2 linked regions of the Diceros bicornis minor genome follow. The protein of the gene in region 1 purifies or fractionates together with the protein of each later gene. This does not show direct contact. Links are inferred from orthologs where the notes say so. Each region holds a gene or a part of one and is shown on either strand. Other genes may lie near its edges.

Region 1 (8,284 bases):
TGGTAAGTGATACCTTCTTTTTACTTGTGGTGGTGATTTCAAGTTTCCTTTAAAAATTATTTTAATAATCACATTGATATAAAGAAATATTAAGAAAATCAGTATACAGGAAGTATGCAGCTAGGCCCAAATTTTGAAGATGATATAAGAATGAGTGAAGTTTGAGAAATACTACATTTTGTCTATTTGGTTAACATCCCATTGGTTTAGCCACCATGAAGGACAGAAAAGGATGTTCAAAGGAATATATACACGAAAGTCAGACGAGAAGGAAATTACTTCAAAATGAGGTAATCAAAAAAGGATTCACAGACAAGGTGGCATTTGAGCTAGGACACGATAGGTATGATTTAGACATGCAGAGACAGGGAGAGCATTTGAAGAGAGCAAAAGTGTAACAATACAGGCCTGAGTGGTGGCATGTTCCAAATCTTGATTATGGGGGTGGTTACTGGGGGGTGTGTATCATGTACACATAAAATGAGTGCACATTATTATATGTAAATTTTTCCTTAATAAATTCGATAGCATATCTTTGACCTATACAATGAAAAGTCATTGAGGTTTCAGGCTTGGATAGCTTGGGGAGGGGGGAAGTAAATGCAACAAAAAGGGAAATCACAATTTAAAGACAAGGAGATCAAAAGAACTTATGTGCACACAATAAATTTTCAATAAAAACTTTTAGTTATTATACAAAAATAGCAGCTATATACTTCTACTTAATAGTTTCACTTCAGGAAGAGAATTTACCTGAATTAAGGCTTATCCATTAAAATTAAAGGTACTATTCCCACCCGCCTCAAACAAAGGAGCACATTACTAGCACTCACCCCTAACAAAGTAACAAAGAACGGACAGAAGTATCCATGTGTGCTAGTGATATCTGATAGAATTTAGCAAAATAATTTAAGATTGTATTCAACACTTAGATCCCATTTGTAAGCAACTTGGAAATAACTGTCTTAGAATTTGTTTTAACCTTTAACTCTTTTCAATGACCTAAGCTCTTAAAATTATGTAGTTATTAATTATGAAGTACGTTTCAAGTGGCTTTTTATCACATTTCATAGTTTAAGAATTCATGACTAGAGAGGCAAACCATTCATAATAAAAATAATGCCATTATCAAGAATTTACTTGTTGGAACTTTATAGCACCATTAACAAAATCCATAACTTGACCATAAAATCAAATTCAAAACATGAATTAATTATGGTTATAGAAAAGCACCAAGAGACCAGAAAAAAGAAGATAATCTCCTGCCATAAATGAAAGCATTAAGTCTCACAGAAACCTATGTGTACCCTTAATATTAATATTTAACTAAGCTTTTTGTTATACCAGTGAGTTGCCACTAGATGTTCATGCTCCAGAGAGCTTAAACTGACAGCCGAAAAAGCATAGTGTAGGGAATTTTAGAGCTGAAAGGGGACTCAGTTCAAGTACAGTAATTTTCAAATAGGTATTCTATGTAATTATATTCTAGGAGATGTTAACACGTTGGCCATGAGAAAATAGGCTCCCTGGCCATGTAAGTTTAGGAAACGCTTCGATAATCTTCTCTGGAAATTTACATGCATATAAACATAGCATTAAAGGTTTTGAGAAGTCCTGCAGTTAAAAGTAAATTAAAAGTTAAACCTAATTTAACCCAATGTGCTCCCAAATTATTTGCCATGGAACACTGTTTTGGGGCAGTAAGCCTATTAATGGATTCAGAACAGCGTTCAGGGGAAGCATCCGTTTGCAAAACTCTGATCCTATGAAATTCCCTTAAAACAGGTGACAAAACTGAGGCCTAGAGAGATCATACCTGGTTAGCAGAACAAAGGACTTGAGTGAAATCATTCATTCCTAGGCCAGAGCTCTTTCCACTAATTTAACTACAAAATAGGACAGGCTTGACTGTCAACCCTCAAACATTTAGTTAACAACATTTAACTTACATTCAACATTTTGGTTATGGTGTCATATTTTCTGGTTTGTGTATTAATTTAGGTGTTTTTAATTCTTCCTTTAAGACTTGGGTTCCTAATAATCAGGCCCACCTGGCGATTTGCTATTGTTTAGCAATTCCAGGCAATGAGTTCCTTCAGAGTGGCAGCTGAAAGTAATCACTAAAATAAAGCATTTATACCACAACTGGTTTGGTTTTAATTTACTCTTGTTATAACGTCCGTCAACTCAACTAAATCACTGTGTTGTTTATCAGGGGGTGAGTTACTTAGCCGACGTGTGTTATCCACAGTAAAATGCAAGATCTTATGTCTGCATAGAAGGTAGCCAACGACATCGCAATTGAGAGATTTTGTCTTTCTATAGTTCAGAGCTTGTCAGCCTTAGCTTAGCTTATTATTTTTTTGGTACTTATATAAAAAAAAGTTTTTATTGCTTTAATTACAATCTCCAAATCAGATTTTCCCAATCTTTATATTTGTCAACCTCCACAGAACTCTAAGATAGTGTAAGAATAATCAAAACACAATTTACTTAGCTTTAAAAAAAGTACAGTTTTGTGTCACCCCCCCTCCCCCCTCAGGATACGGGAGAAGAATGGAAGAGAACAAGTAACTATTGTTATGTCGCAACTTGAAAAGGCTTGAGAATCAAAGGTGATCACTGTTAACAACTTCCTTACGACTAATCGGACTTCCTCTAATAAACTTCTGCACTGCTCTGCAACCCCGCCCCCCGCCCCCCCGCGGAACATTAACCATGGCTGGCCTTCACGTCTCCTCAATCTTAAAAGCACCCACCAGATGAAGGAGACCAGACGATGCCTAGATTCTGCCAACAAAGAGGTTACCCCGCGCGCCCCGATCGCACAGGTGCGACCTCCACCCCAACCTTGCGCACGGCTCGGCCTCAGCGCAGAAGGCTCGGGACCGGCCACCGGCCACTCCGGACCCCTGCGCGGGCGCCTCCGCCCGGCCCGCGGGTCCCCAGAAACCAGAGCGCGGCCGGCCGGCTTCGCGCGGGCTCCAGGCGGGGCCAGGGCGGCAACACCCCCGGCGCCACAGCCGCCGACCCGCGGGGCGTCCCCGCAGCTCCGGTGCGAGCCGGGCTGAGGAGGCCGCTCAGGGAGGGCCGGCGGCCGGCCTCGCGACCGCGCTGGGGGCGGGGACGCTGTTACCTGCCGTGGGCTCGGCCGCTCCCCGCCGGCGCCGCTCTCCTGGCAACCGCGACAGCGACACCGAGGCCGGGAGCCCAAGGGCCTACTGACAGCTCCCAGCGTGCACCGCGCCCACGCCGGCGTCGACGTCGACGGCCCTCGGTCCCGCCCCCTCCCTGCCTCCCTCCCGTCACAAGCTGTCGCGACAGCTCCCTCTAGCGGATTGTCGAGGAAGCGGCCCACGGCCACCAACTGCGGGAGTGGGCTTGGAGAGGGCTGTAGCAGGTGTTTTCAACTCGCCAGCGCCGGCCCCACCTTGATGGAGAGTTTGGCGGGATGCTAGGAATTGAGAACAGCTTTTAAATATTATTTAAGAATTAAGTATTATTTAAATAATTGTTCAGTATTTCATATGAAAAATTTGAGGCCCAGAGAAGTTAGAAAACTTGTGAAGTTGGGAAACAAATAGTTGTTACCAGATTTGGAACTATTTTGAGTCTAGAACTCTCTAAATCATGTAGTTACTACAAGGAGGATTACACCATTTTACCTAAACCGTAGGGTCAAAAAAAAATTGAACTTTTTTACGAATGTATGACTATAGATGAAATATAACAATCTTTAAAAATAATCAAACACCAATTATGAAGAGCATACTGTGCTAAAAATGTTATATATTGCAAAATAACGTGTCAGTATTTAAGCACTTAATAGCCTTGAGAATTAAAGGTGGAAGATAGAAGTTAAAATCATCACCCTTCATCACTCCTATTTGAGACGGAATAGCAGTAAACAATTCTTTTAACTGTATCATTACCTCCATTCATAATTTTGAATTATTGTGATGGATACAGGAATTTGTGAAACAATATGATAAACTTAAAAAACTCTGAATACTGATTTTAGAAAAATTCTCTTAAACTAGTATCTCTAGGGAAGTGGGCTTATTATTTGGAAAATCTTCAAATTAATATGTTTGGTGTGTGGTAATTACGACCTTGAAATGATAAAGTAGAATATCAATAAACATACGATTTTCTGTATATGCCATCATTTGTTTCTGCTTTAAATAACAGCCTCTTGTTTTTAAAGAATTATTATTATAATTCTACCGTGGCCTTATATTTTAATATTCCCCAGTTATAAGTATTTACATTATACTAGATCTTTTTCTTTACCCTGTCAAACTTAACCAAAACTTTCTTTTAGTAGTTATGAGATTACAACTTCTCTAGGTCAGTTTTTACTTCTGCAAAAGTGAATAGTGTAAATGTACATATGGAATCATTCTCATCTTCCTTTTTTCAAAGGTTATAGGAATGGTTTATCCTGTGATTCACGATACTGGATTTAACCACACTCTCTGCACAGACAGAAAACTTCTCACATTTTTGCCAGTGTTTCCATCGTGGTCTAAATTGAGAAGCAATGCCAAGTCAACCCTGGATATTTGTTGCCTCAGACAGGGGAGAGCTACGACCGACCGACCATAGTTCATAAAAAAGAGACCACAGTTCTTAAAAAAAAAAAAAAGAAAGAAAGAAAGAAAAACAAGATAAAGTGGACTTCGCGTGGGGAATTCTACTCTCGGGCTTTCTGGGGACGGTGGCCGCTTCCACCGCCTCCGTCCATCATCCCCCTCTTCCAGCCTCTTCCCTACCCGCGGAAGCCAAAAGGGTGTACTTCGGCCCTGATTTTTAAGGTCATTTCCAGGGAGACTATCGCATCAGGTCACGCCCGTAATTCGCGGAGTGGGAAGACAGCATGGCTCTCCCCGCCCACCTGTCTCAGCGAGTCGGAAAGCCGGGATTTGAGAATGCTCGCGCCCCGGCGTGGAGTCCCCGCGGCGGCGCGCTCTCCGCCCGGCAGGCGGCGCTGTGGGCTGGCAGGCTCTGCCCGCGGGGCGAGCCGGTCCGGGAGCTCCGCGCCGCCGCTGCTGCCGCTTCTGCTGGGGCCGCACGTGCAGGCGCTCCAGGCCCTGGTGGCCCTGCTTCGCCAGAACCTCCAGCCGGGCGCCCGCCATGGCGTCCCCTGCGGCGGAGACGCGCGTGTTCCTGGAGGTGCGGAGACGGCTGCAGAGCGCGCTGCTGATCCTGGGGTAAGGCCAGGGGCGGGCGCGGAGCCCGGCTCGCTCTTCTGCTTCTCGGGGAGTCTCTGCCTCCCTCGGAACACCGATTTTGAGTTTCTTCTTTCCAGCTGCTTAAAGCCTCTCGGTTACTCAAGGTGGAGTGTTCTCCCCCCTCGATCCCCACGCCATAGTCCCCCCGTCGATTGGCAGTCCAGGCATCACTTGGGAGCTTGTTAGAAATACGGAGTCTCAGCCCCACACCAGACCTGCTGAATCGGAACTTACATTTTAACGTGCTTCCCAGGATTCAAATGCACATTAAAGTTTGAGGAGCACTGGATGTGAAATACCGTTGCCAGTGCCCGGCGTTTCCAACAAAACATTGCAAAAAATGCCTTGTCTACCTCTTTCGGAATCCTTGTTATAAAATCAGTTCCAGTGGGTGAGCTTCCTGTTTTGTAAATAACTTCAGGGTTTTTTCTTTTTTTTTTTTTTCTGTCCTGTGCTGAGAAAGTGACACAGTCATTCAGTAAACGTGTGTTGGGTGAACGACTGACAAAGGTTGCAGACTTCTTACTGGAGGTCATTCTTTTATTCATATTCCGGGTTCCAATGAGAAGTCTGCAAACGTTTAACTTGTTATTCACTACACAAACAAACTTTTAGGAAAAGTGTTCTCTTTTTTGTTTGGTAGTATGTGGTCCCCTCGACTATTCCATCGTGACTGCTGTTTCAGGGTAAATTAGATGTTAAAATCCTGAGAAGTTTATTACACAGCGCCACACTTGAGGTAGATTGATGCTTAGCTTTCTGTTTTTTCCTTAAATCAGCCAGGTGTCTAGTGAGACAGTTTGGGATTTGGCATGAGAACTGAGTTATTTAATCTGAATTTTTTCAGTTGTAACGTGGGGATGATATTTATTACTTTTCTTCTTTTTTTTCCGCTCTCTTTTTTCCTCTCTCTCTCTCAAATCATGAGTTCAGGTAAGTATCTCCAATTCCAATCCACCTTGTAGGGTTATTAGGAGCCCAAACAAAACAAGTCAAGCCAGCCTCCCTACTTCCATCACAGGGGCCCTTCAAGTTTCTCCTGGGTTCCTCTCCCTTGTTTAAGCAAGTTAAGAAGCCTGACTTGACTGGACGACTGCTTTGTCCCTGGTGGCCTCTGGCTGTTGATCTTTATCATCAGCCAGTTCCCTCTACCCTGAAAGCAACCACTGTTCTGATTTCATTCAGCAAAGGTTAGTTTTGCCATTTCTTGAACTATGTATAAATGGATTCATGCAGTATATACTTTTTTGTTTCTGGCTGCTTTCCTTCAACAGTGTTTCTGAGATTCATCTTTCATCTATGGCATTGCATATATCAGTAGTCCATTCTTTTTTCTTGCTGAGTAGTTTTCCACTGTATACAACAATTCATTTATCCATTCTTCTGTTGCTGGATATTTTGCATGTTTATAGAGCTTGCTTATTATGCATAAAGCTGCCATAACATTGTTGTGGTTAAGTCTTTCTGTGGACATACATTTTCATTTGTCTTGGATGGACTTGCTAGGTCGTAGGGTAGATGGGAGCTTTACTTTATGAGAAACTGCCAAACAGTTCTCCAAAATGGTTGCACCAGTTTATATTCTTGCCAGCAAAAAATGAGACTTCCAATTGCTTCACATTCTTGTCTGCATTTAGTATTGACAATCTTTTTGATCTTAACCATCTCTAGTGGTATAAAGTGATATCTCATTGTAGTTTTAATTTGCGTTTTCCTGGTTAATACTGTTGAGCACCTTCATATTTGCTTTTTGGTCATTCATATATGCTCCTTCATAAAGTATCTTCTAATTATTTTCTATTAAAAAAAAATCAGGGGGCCAGCCTGGTGGCGTAGCCGTTAAGTGTGCATGCTCTACTTCAGCAGCCTGGGGGCTCGCGGGTTCAGATCCTGGGCCTGCAGCGATGCACTGCTTGTCAAGCCATGCTGTGGCGGCGTCCCATATAAAGTAGAGGAAGATGGGCACAGATGTTAGCCCAGGGCCAGTCTTCCTCGGCAAAAAGAGGATTGGCATCGGATATTAGCTCAGGGCTGATCTTCCTCACACACGCGCAAAAAAAGAAATAAAAAAAAAAATCAGGTTGTTTGTCTTAGGGTTGAATTAAAAGAGTTCTTTATATGGTCTGGAAACAAGACCTGTCTCATGCCTTGTGAGTGTGTGAATATTTTCTCCCAATCTGTAACTTACCCTTTCATTTTCTTAATAATGTCTTTTGATGAACAGAAAATTTTAATTATAATGAAGTCCAGTTGCGTTTTTTTATTTAATGGTTAGTGCTTTTTATGTCTTAAGAAATCTTTGTGTACCTCAAAGTTGTAAAGACTTTTTTCTTATGTTTATTTTCTAGGAGTTACATAGTTTTAGCTTTTACATTTAGGTCCATGATTATGTCAGATTCATTTTTGTGTTTGGAGTGAGGTTGGGGTCAAAGTTCGTTTTTTTTCCATAAAGATATCCAGTTGTTCTGTTACCATTAGTTAAAAAAACTGTCATTTCTCCTATTGAAATAACTCAGTGTCTGTATCAGAAATCAGTTGACTGTATTGTTTGCATGGTTTGTCTTTTTCCACCCTTTTACTCTCAACCTATGTCTTTATATATAAGTTTTTAAGTATATACTTTATACTGGGTGGAGTTTTTAAAACTCCATTCTGACAATCTCTTCATTTTAATTATAATTTTTAGTCTATTTACAGTTAATGTAAATAGTATATTGAGTATTATTCTTGTTCTTAATCTTAAATGCCTCTAGCAGGGGTCATCATTAGATATGACGAAGTTGACTTTTGATGAATCTGTTTGGTAGATTGCGTAGTTCCTTTTTATTCCTAGGTTACCAAGGGTTTTAATCATGAATAGATACTGTTTTTTTTGTAGTGATTCTTGCATGTATTGTGATGGTCCTATTTTTTTCCTTTAATCTTTACATCTGTGAATTGCAGTAGAAAAGGTTATTTATGTTAAACTATCTTAGCATTCCTGGGATAAACCCTGGTCATTCATTTATTCAGTCCACAGATGTTTACTGAGTTCCTATTCTAGTACCAAA
Region 2 (8,373 bases), on another chromosome or scaffold:
TAAAAAATTAATAGAGCTACCATTTGATCCAGCTATTTCACTGCTGGGTATGTAATTGAAGAACATGAAAACATGAATGTGAAAGCATATTTGCACACCTATGTTCATTGCAGCATTATTCACAATAGCCAAAACTTGGAAACAACCTGGTACCTATCAATGGATGAATAAATAAAGAAGATATGGTATATGTATACATCTATACACAATTGAATACTACCCAGCCATAAAAGACGAAACTGTGCCATTTGCAACAACATGGATGGACCTTCAGAGTATTACGCTAAGTAGGGCCGGCCCCGTGGCTTGGTGGTTGAGTGCACGCGCTCCGTTGCTGGTGGCCCGGGTTCGGATCCCGGGCGCGCACCGAGGCACCACTTCTCCGTCCATCCTGAGGCCGAGTCCCACATACAGCAACTAGAAGGATGTGCAGCTATGACATACAACTATCTACTGGGGCTTTGGGGGGGGGGGGGAGAGTATTACGCTAAGCGAAATAAGTCAGACAGAGAAAGCTAAATACCTTATGATTTCACTCATAAGTGGAAGACAAAAACAACAAACACACACACACAGATACAGAGATTAGACTAGTGGTTACCAGAGGGGAAGGGGGGAGGGAGGAAGGTGAAAGGGGTGATGAGACACGTGTGTGTGGTGATGGATTGTAATTAGTCTTTGGGTGGTGAACATGATGTAATCTACACAGAAATTGAAGTATAATGATGTATACCTGAAATTTATATAGTGTTATAAACCAATGTTACCTCAATAAAACAAATGCAAAAAAATTTTTCTAATAAATAAGTAACTGATAATGGCCCTAATACTCAGTCCTTCTCCCTCAAAGGGCCTTCATATTTTAATAAGGGTAGCCTTTCCTCAATGGATGGATTTTAGGCAACAAATCGTTTGTTTTGGCCACTGGGCTTTTCCACAACTCCATTGTCTTTTCTCAAAGAGCTTCTTCTGGGAAAGGGGATGTCACATGGTAAGAAATCTGGCAAGGTGGAGGGCATGGACCCACCCTTCTTAGAGAATCTAATGAAAGCTAAAGGCTCTCTACTCAGAAAAATCCACATACCTGAACCTATCCCCCCAACCCCTACACACAATCTCAGAGGGTGTTCTCATTTCCAAACAGCTAGGTGTGGTCTGTTGTCATGTGAGCAGTATGATGTATCCATGTTTGCAAACACCTTTTTAAGATGAAACGTGTCCAGAATTTTGAAGTTCAAAGGTAACTTAAAATAAGTTGACAGCTAATCATTGGGTATGTTCATTGACATCAGGGTTATAATAGGAAAGGGTGCAATTTTATATATCCCTCACAAGCTTTGAAGATCTTCTAGAACTCATCTCTATGTCTCCAAGCTACTTCAGATGTAAATCTTTAAAGCCCCAGTACACAGTTCTAAGTCCTTCTAAGTTCTTCTATGTGAGCCACCAACACGGCGTGTCGGCCTACAGATGAATGGTGTGATTCTGCCCCCAGGAACCGAACCCAGGCCGCAGAAGCGGAGTGTGCCAAACTGTAACCACTACGCCATCAGGGCCGGCTCAGACAAAAATTTTAATGACCACCAATTCCACCACCAGAGATCATCTGTTAATATTTTGATATATGTCCTTCCAGATTTTTCTCTATGCTTATTTTTTCCTACAAAAATATTTTGGGATCATACTATACATACTAAATGTGCTTTTTTCTGTACTGTATTATACTCATTCATTAGATATCTGAGGGCCTAATGTTCCAGGTACTGGGAATCCAGTGGTAAACCAGAAGGGCAAGGGCTGCATTTTCATGATCTTACCTTCAAATGGGGCAAGCCACACGCTAAAACAAACAAGAAAATGCCAAATATGAACCACGGTGAAAATAAGAATGACATGGGCAACTTCAGATGGGGTGCTGGAGGCGGGAAGAGGTTGTCACAGGGAGTCAATGATGGTGACACAACTTCTTGAGATTCAAGGGCCCGTGTGCAGGCTGCACAGGAGCAAGAGTATTCTGCCATCGGGAATGAGGTATAACGATCGGGGGAGAAAATTCGGTGGCGAGTATGGAAAGGGTTAGGGATCAAGGCATGACGGGCCTTGTAGACACAGCAAGGAATGTGGATGTCAGGCAACGGGAAGGTGTTGAGCAGATCTGGTTTTAAAGATCACTAAGACTAGCACGTGGAGACGAGGTCATGAGAAGGGAAGAAGTGAGGAGACCAGTCACGAAGCTACTGCAGAAGTTTGCGACAGAGATGACGTGGTCAAGACCAGACCCGGCAAGAAGTGGGTGTGTTTGGGGAGTGGAAGAGCCGACAGGACCTGGTAACTGAACGGCAGTGCAAGGTAGGGGGAAGAGGAATCAAGGATCACCTGTAGGATTTAAGCCTAAGCGGCTGGGTGGACAGTACTGAGACTGGGGAAATAACAGGTTCGAGAAGGGAGAAGCAAGATTTCCATTTTGAGATGCGTATCCGACATTCAGGCAGAGGTATCTGGCAGGCAGTGGCATGAGTCTAGAGCTCAGGTATGGGATAAAATTTTGGAGTCACTAGTCTCATCCCACATGAGATCCACGAAGGCAATTTTTTTTACAGGTATTTAAAAACTTTTAGATTGAAGTACACGATACATACATAAAAGCCCCCTATTACTAGTGTACATACAGCTCAATGCATTTTCACAAACTGCACACCCTGTTAGCAAGATTAAGAAACGTTACCCTCACCCCAGAAGCTCACTCCTGCCCCCTGCGCATCACAATACCCCACTCCACGCCCCCTTCACAATCATCAGCCTGATTTCTCACTGATTTATTTGCCAAGTTTTGTCTATTATATAACAGAATCATACGGTATGTACTATTTTGCACCTGGTTTCTTTCACACATTGTTAGTGATCCATCCACATGGTTCCTTCATGTCCATTGTGTGGATATACACATTGTATTTATCCATTCTACCACTGATGGGAATTTGGGTAGTTTCCACTATTGGTGTATTACAAATAATGCTGTTATGAATATACGAATTTTAGCATATGTCTTTTGATAGGGATATGTATGTGATTCTGTTGGGTGTATATCTAAGAGTAGAATTTCTTGGTCATAAAGTATACATTACATTCAACAGCAATTTTCCAAAGCGACTGGCCCAATATGCACTCCAGCATCTGAGAGTGCCAGCTGCCTCACATCCTTGGAGCACGACGACTGTCCTGCTCCTTCCTTACCTACCTGTACAGCAGGCGCACCGAGTGTGCCACAGACAGCCGGGAAAAGAACCAACCTGAGCACAGACGGCAGTTAAAGCTGTGGGCTTGAAGATCATCTTGGAGGAAATATGATTAGCTAAGAGGGCTAATGAACGAGACCTGGGTGACCCCTACATTTACAGAAGGGGGAGAAGAGGAGCAAGCAGAGGAGGAAAAGGGGAAGCACGGAGTTCTATAAACCAAGAGAAAATGTGTCTCAAGGGGGGCAGTCAATCGCTTTGCATGCTGCCAGGAGATCCTAACCTAAGAGGAAGGCAGAGGCTGGAAAAGGAGAGGAGTCAGGAGTTCTAATTTTGGTCATTTCAAGCCTGAGGAGCTTACGCGTTAAATCATTCAAATGGAGACCTAAAATGGGCAGCTGGAGTTTAGACCCTGACAGATGAATCTCGTATTTGTGAGTGTAAATATACCTGCGAAGGAGACAATGTAAATGGAAAATGGATGAGGTCACAGCCTTGAGGTGTTTCCACTTAGAAGTTGAATCGAGGTAAACACCTGCAAAGCAGACCACACAGTGTCGATGTCTGATGAACTAGGAGAGAAACCTGGAAAGTGTCTTGTCATAGAGTAATGCCAACATCAATTGTAGTAAATGTTGCTGAGAGTTTCAACAAAATGAGCACTGGATTTAACAACTACTCCAGTCAATGAACTTGCTTCTGCAACATCACTTTGAAGGGCTGCACAGAATCCCATTTGCATGGCTGTATCAAAATCTGCTTGGGCCGGCCTGTGGCTTAGTGGTTAAGTGCGCGCGCTCTGCTGCTGGCAGCCAAGGTTTGATCCCGGGCGTACCGACACACCGCTTGCCGGGCCATGCTGAGGCCGCGTCCCACATACAGCAACTAGAAGGATGTGCAGCTATGACCTACAACTATCTGCTGGGGCTTTGGGGGAAAAAATAAATAATTAAAGAAAAAAAAATCTGCTCAACCAGTCCCACTGTTGAATCCTTCCATTCTTCCCCAACCTTTAGAATCATACATAATGTTGCCTTGAGCATGCTGTTGGAGTTGGAATTGCTGGATCAATAAAGTATTACATTCTAAAGGCTTTGATACAGCTACCAAACGAGTCTTGAGAAACGCTTTACTAACTTCCAGCACCACCCCAAGGAGGTACAATATGGGGCTGTAATAACAGCCTTTGCCATTTGGATAGGTGGTATGTGGTATCTTATATTTGCATTTTATTAGTGGTAAAGTCATTATGTTTATCGATCACTGGTTATTTATGAACAGCCTGCCGAGATGTCTTGCTCAAATGAGAGTTGTTGCAGGGCAAACTGTATGGAGACATATCCAAAAGACTGAAATGTTGGTTTAGCAATGTGAAAAAAGCAGATCAACTCCAGCTTGAATCCCAGCCTGTGAATACACTAGCTGTGTGACCTTGGTTAGGTAACTTCTCAGGTCCCATCTTGTCTGTGAAAGGAGGATCAAGCCCACCTTGAAGTGTTGTGAACAATGCCGGATATTACAATTATGATGATGGTTATTCTGCAGAAGTACCTGCACCATGTCACAAGAATCTAAAAAACGCGGGATGCAGCATAGTTGGTGGGTCTGAAGTTGCTACTAAGTCTACGCTGGCCTTTGCACCGTCCCTCCCCGCCTCCTGCCCCTCCTCCCTCCCGGGTGCTGGCGGTGTCCCCACGGCAACCAGCACGCGCTGCCCACGCTCAGCTCTCCGCCGGCGGTTGCGGTTACGGAACCGGCCGCCGCACTCTCCGGACAAGCGGTTCCGAGGCGCACCCACCCCCCAGTCCGGGACCCATCTCCCGCGGCCGAGGGCCGGAGCCGCGGGCAGCATGGCCAGGGCGGCAGCCTCTTCGGCGCTGGAGGACTTGGACCTGAGCGCAGAGGAGGTCCAGCGGCTCACCTCGGCCTTCCGGGACCCGGAGTTCCGGCGAATGTTCTCCGAGTACGCCGAGGAGCTCACGGACCCGGAGAACCGGCGGCGCTACGAGGCGGAGGTCACGGCGCTGGAGCGGGAGCGCGGCGTGGCCGTGCGGTTCGTGCACCCGGAGCCGGGCCACGTGCTGCGCACCAGCCTGGACGGGGCGCGGCGCGGCTTCGTGAACGTGTGCAGCAACCCGCTGGTGGGCGCGCCCCGCGGCCGGCCCGACGGCCAGTGGTCGCTGCCCTACAGCCTGGCGCCGGGCCGCGAGTACCTGGGGCGCCGCGGCGGCCGCTACACCGTCTACGACGTGGTCTTCCACCCGCGCGCGCTGGCGCTGGCCCGGCGCCACGAGCGCTTCCGCCGCATGCTGGACGCCGCGGCCCTGGACGCCGTGGAGACGCAGTGCGGCGTGAAGCTGGACCGCACCAACGCCAGGACCCTCAAGATCAAGTACAAGGGCACCCCGGAGGCCGCCGTGCTGCGCACGCCCCTGCCCGGGGCCGGCCCGGCGCGGCCCGACGGGGAGCCGGAGGGACCCCTCCCCGGCCTGCCCTACCCCTACCCGCCGCCGGCCCCGCGCCCGGCCGCCCGGGCCCCCGCGCCCGCCCCTCCGGCCGCCGGCCCGCCGCACGCACCCACCGAGCCCCGCTACAGCGTGGTGCAGCGCCACCACGTGGACCTGCAGGACTACCGCTGCGCCCGCGACTCGGCCCCCGGGCCCGTGCCCCACGAGCTGGTGGTCACCATCGAGCTGCCGCTGCTGCGCTCGGCCGAGCAGGCGGCGCTGGAGGTGACGGGGCGGCTGCTGAGCTTGGACTCCAGGGCCCCCGACTACCGCCTGCGCCTCTCGCTCCCCTACCCCGTGGACGACGGCCGCGGCACGGCGCACTTCCACCGGGCCCGCCGGCAGCTGGTGGTCACGCTGCCCGTCGTGCGCCCCGCCCCGCGCCCCGCGCCGCCGGAAGAGCCTGCCCGCGCGCCCGGAACTGACGCACGGGGCCCGGAGGAGAAGGAGCAGGAGGAAGAGGAGGAGCAGAGGGGGGAGCAGGAGGAGCAGCAGCGGGAGGAGCGTGGGGAGCAGCGGGGGGAGCAGGAGCAGCGGGAGGAGGAGCTGGAGGAGGCGCAGGAGGAGGAGCGGGGAGAGCAGCGGGAGGAGCAGGAAGAGGAGCGGGGAGAGCAGCAGGAGGAGCAGGAGCATCGAGAGGAGGAGGAGCAGGAGGAGGAGCGGGGAGAGCAGCGGGAGGAGCAGGAGCAGCGAGAGGGGGAGCGGGAGCAGCAGCGCGAGGAGCGGGGCCCAGGCGGGCCGGCAGTGTGGACTCCGGCCGTCGGGGAGGAGCCGCCCCCCGGAGCAAGGACCCCCCCCGGCGCTCCATCCAGGGCTTTGGGCAGGGGCTCCGGTGCAGGAGGAGGAGACGCGCGCGGGGCCCGGGCAGGCGCGGGCGGGGAGCCCCCGGGTGCGGCCATGGGTGGTCCCGGGACCGCCCGCCGGGAGCCCGTGTGTCCCCCTTCACAGTGCAGGCAGAACGAGGAGTCCGTGACTCTGCTGGTGCAGGTGCCTCGGATCCAGCCGCAGAGTCTCCACGGGGACCTGAGCCCCCTCGGGTACCAGTTGCGCTTCTCCACCCGAGACTCGGCTTCCTACGCCTTGGTTCTGCGCTTTGCTCCGGAAAACACGTTGGGCCCCCGGGAGCCCGTGGTCAGCGTGTCCCTCGACAACGCGGTGATAGAGCTGGCCAAGGCTCCAGAGTGCCGCGGGCACTGGACGGCCTGGTGGTACGGCTTAAACAGCGATTCTTTGGAGGTAACGGTCCTTGCTAGAGTCTTAGCGTTTGAAATATTCCGTCCCACTTTAGATTTGCTGTTACGGGCGTTCTCAGTTTATCCCAAACGCAGCGTTTTCCATTGTAACTTCTGGTAGTGACTCGAAATTGGTGCACGTGATGAAACGTGCCAGCGCGCGTTAGACGACCATCGACCAAAAGCTGACGCGCGTGCCCTCGGTGGGCGGGTCTCACATCTTAGCCGCCCTTCACGCGCTGGTCTCCCCGGAGTGACCCCCGGGTCACTCTGCAGTTGTGGGCCGGAAGTCGAGGTGCTTTCCTCTGGGGAGAAGGGCCGTCTTTTGAGTCGTATTCTCTGAGGGGCTCGTGACCCACATAGGTTTGTGGGGCACTCCATTGTGGCCATATTCTAAGTTGGTAAATAACGTTTTCCGACTTTAGAAGGTAAATTTACTTCCGGAGAGCAAATGTGACCCAGCCGGCGCCACGCAGTTCTTACGTGGGAAAACGGACTCAGACCCAGGGGTGAACTAGATCCCTTGCCCTTTGGGCCACATGGTGCTGCCGACATATAGTCGCTGACAGGGGTGGGGTGTCCTCTGGTGGGCGTTATATATTACATGGAAATCGCCTCTTTTTGAGTCTGTTTTAATCTACTTGAGGTCTCCACCAGTATTTGGCACAATGGCCGGCATGTAACAGTGTAATATAAACGGTTGTTCAACTGAACAGCATCAACACCAGCTACGCCTCTTCTGGGCGAATACTCTAGAACTGGGGCTGCGCTGACCTAGTTTACTTAGATATATGCGATAGGATATAATTCGGATGAATAACGTAGTGTGTCCTGTTGTAGTTGCTACTATACTTTTTAGGTTATTGAGGTTCTTGAATTTCAGATTCAATACTCCAGTACTGCTGGCAAATATTGAAAAAAAACTACTTAAAATTTGAAGTTCTAAAGAACTTTTTAATCTCATAAACAATTGGTGTGGTTGAGGTTTGTATCAATGTTACATGTAATTTTTTTTTAGCTTTTTTAACATATTCAAGGGTTAAATTCCCAGAAATACTAGTTGCACAGATTATATATTAAAAATTAAGTTTTTGGCCTTGGGCTTTAACCTGCTAGAAATTTTCACTTCTTCCCATTGTTTTTCTAGAAATTTGCTAAGTTACATTTATATTTTATGAGGGTTATCTAATGTGAGAAGTGGTTAATTTGAAACCCTCCAAAAATGGTAAAATAAATAGCCAGGGCTGTATAAGATACTTTGTGAGGATATAAAATATGAAATTGACTATCTGTTTATGTCATCAGAAGGGAGAAATTTAGGAAAGGGCAGTCATTTTCCTGTAATTGTTTTAATAAATGTGAAAATAACTCACAATGTGGGAAGAAAGCTCTACAGAC

Evidence for each region.
Region 2: the proteins of UBE3D (region 1) and DNAAF2 purify together in Homo sapiens (affinity purification with mass spectrometry; 4 studies listed by BioGRID and IntAct, counting the BioPlex papers as one, with this or other methods). This does not show direct contact. The link is inferred for Diceros bicornis minor from reciprocal best matches to the Homo sapiens genes UBE3D and DNAAF2.

Annotation. Positions count from the first base shown.
Region 1 is NC_080762.1:48,601,013-48,609,296, forward strand, and holds the start of UBE3D (E3 ubiquitin-protein ligase E3D), read left to right. Parts: upstream 1-5,084; 5' UTR 5,085-5,136; coding exon 5,137-5,213; intron 5,214-8,284. UniProt on the Homo sapiens protein: E3 ubiquitin-protein ligase which accepts ubiquitin from specific E2 ubiquitin-conjugating enzymes, and transfers it to substrates, generally promoting their degradation by the proteasome.
Region 2 is NC_080744.1:2,322,725-2,331,097, forward strand, and holds the start of DNAAF2 (protein kintoun), read left to right. Parts: upstream 1-5,068; 5' UTR 5,069-5,086; coding exon 5,087-6,979; intron 6,980-8,373. UniProt on the Homo sapiens protein: Required for cytoplasmic pre-assembly of axonemal dyneins, thereby playing a central role in motility in cilia and flagella.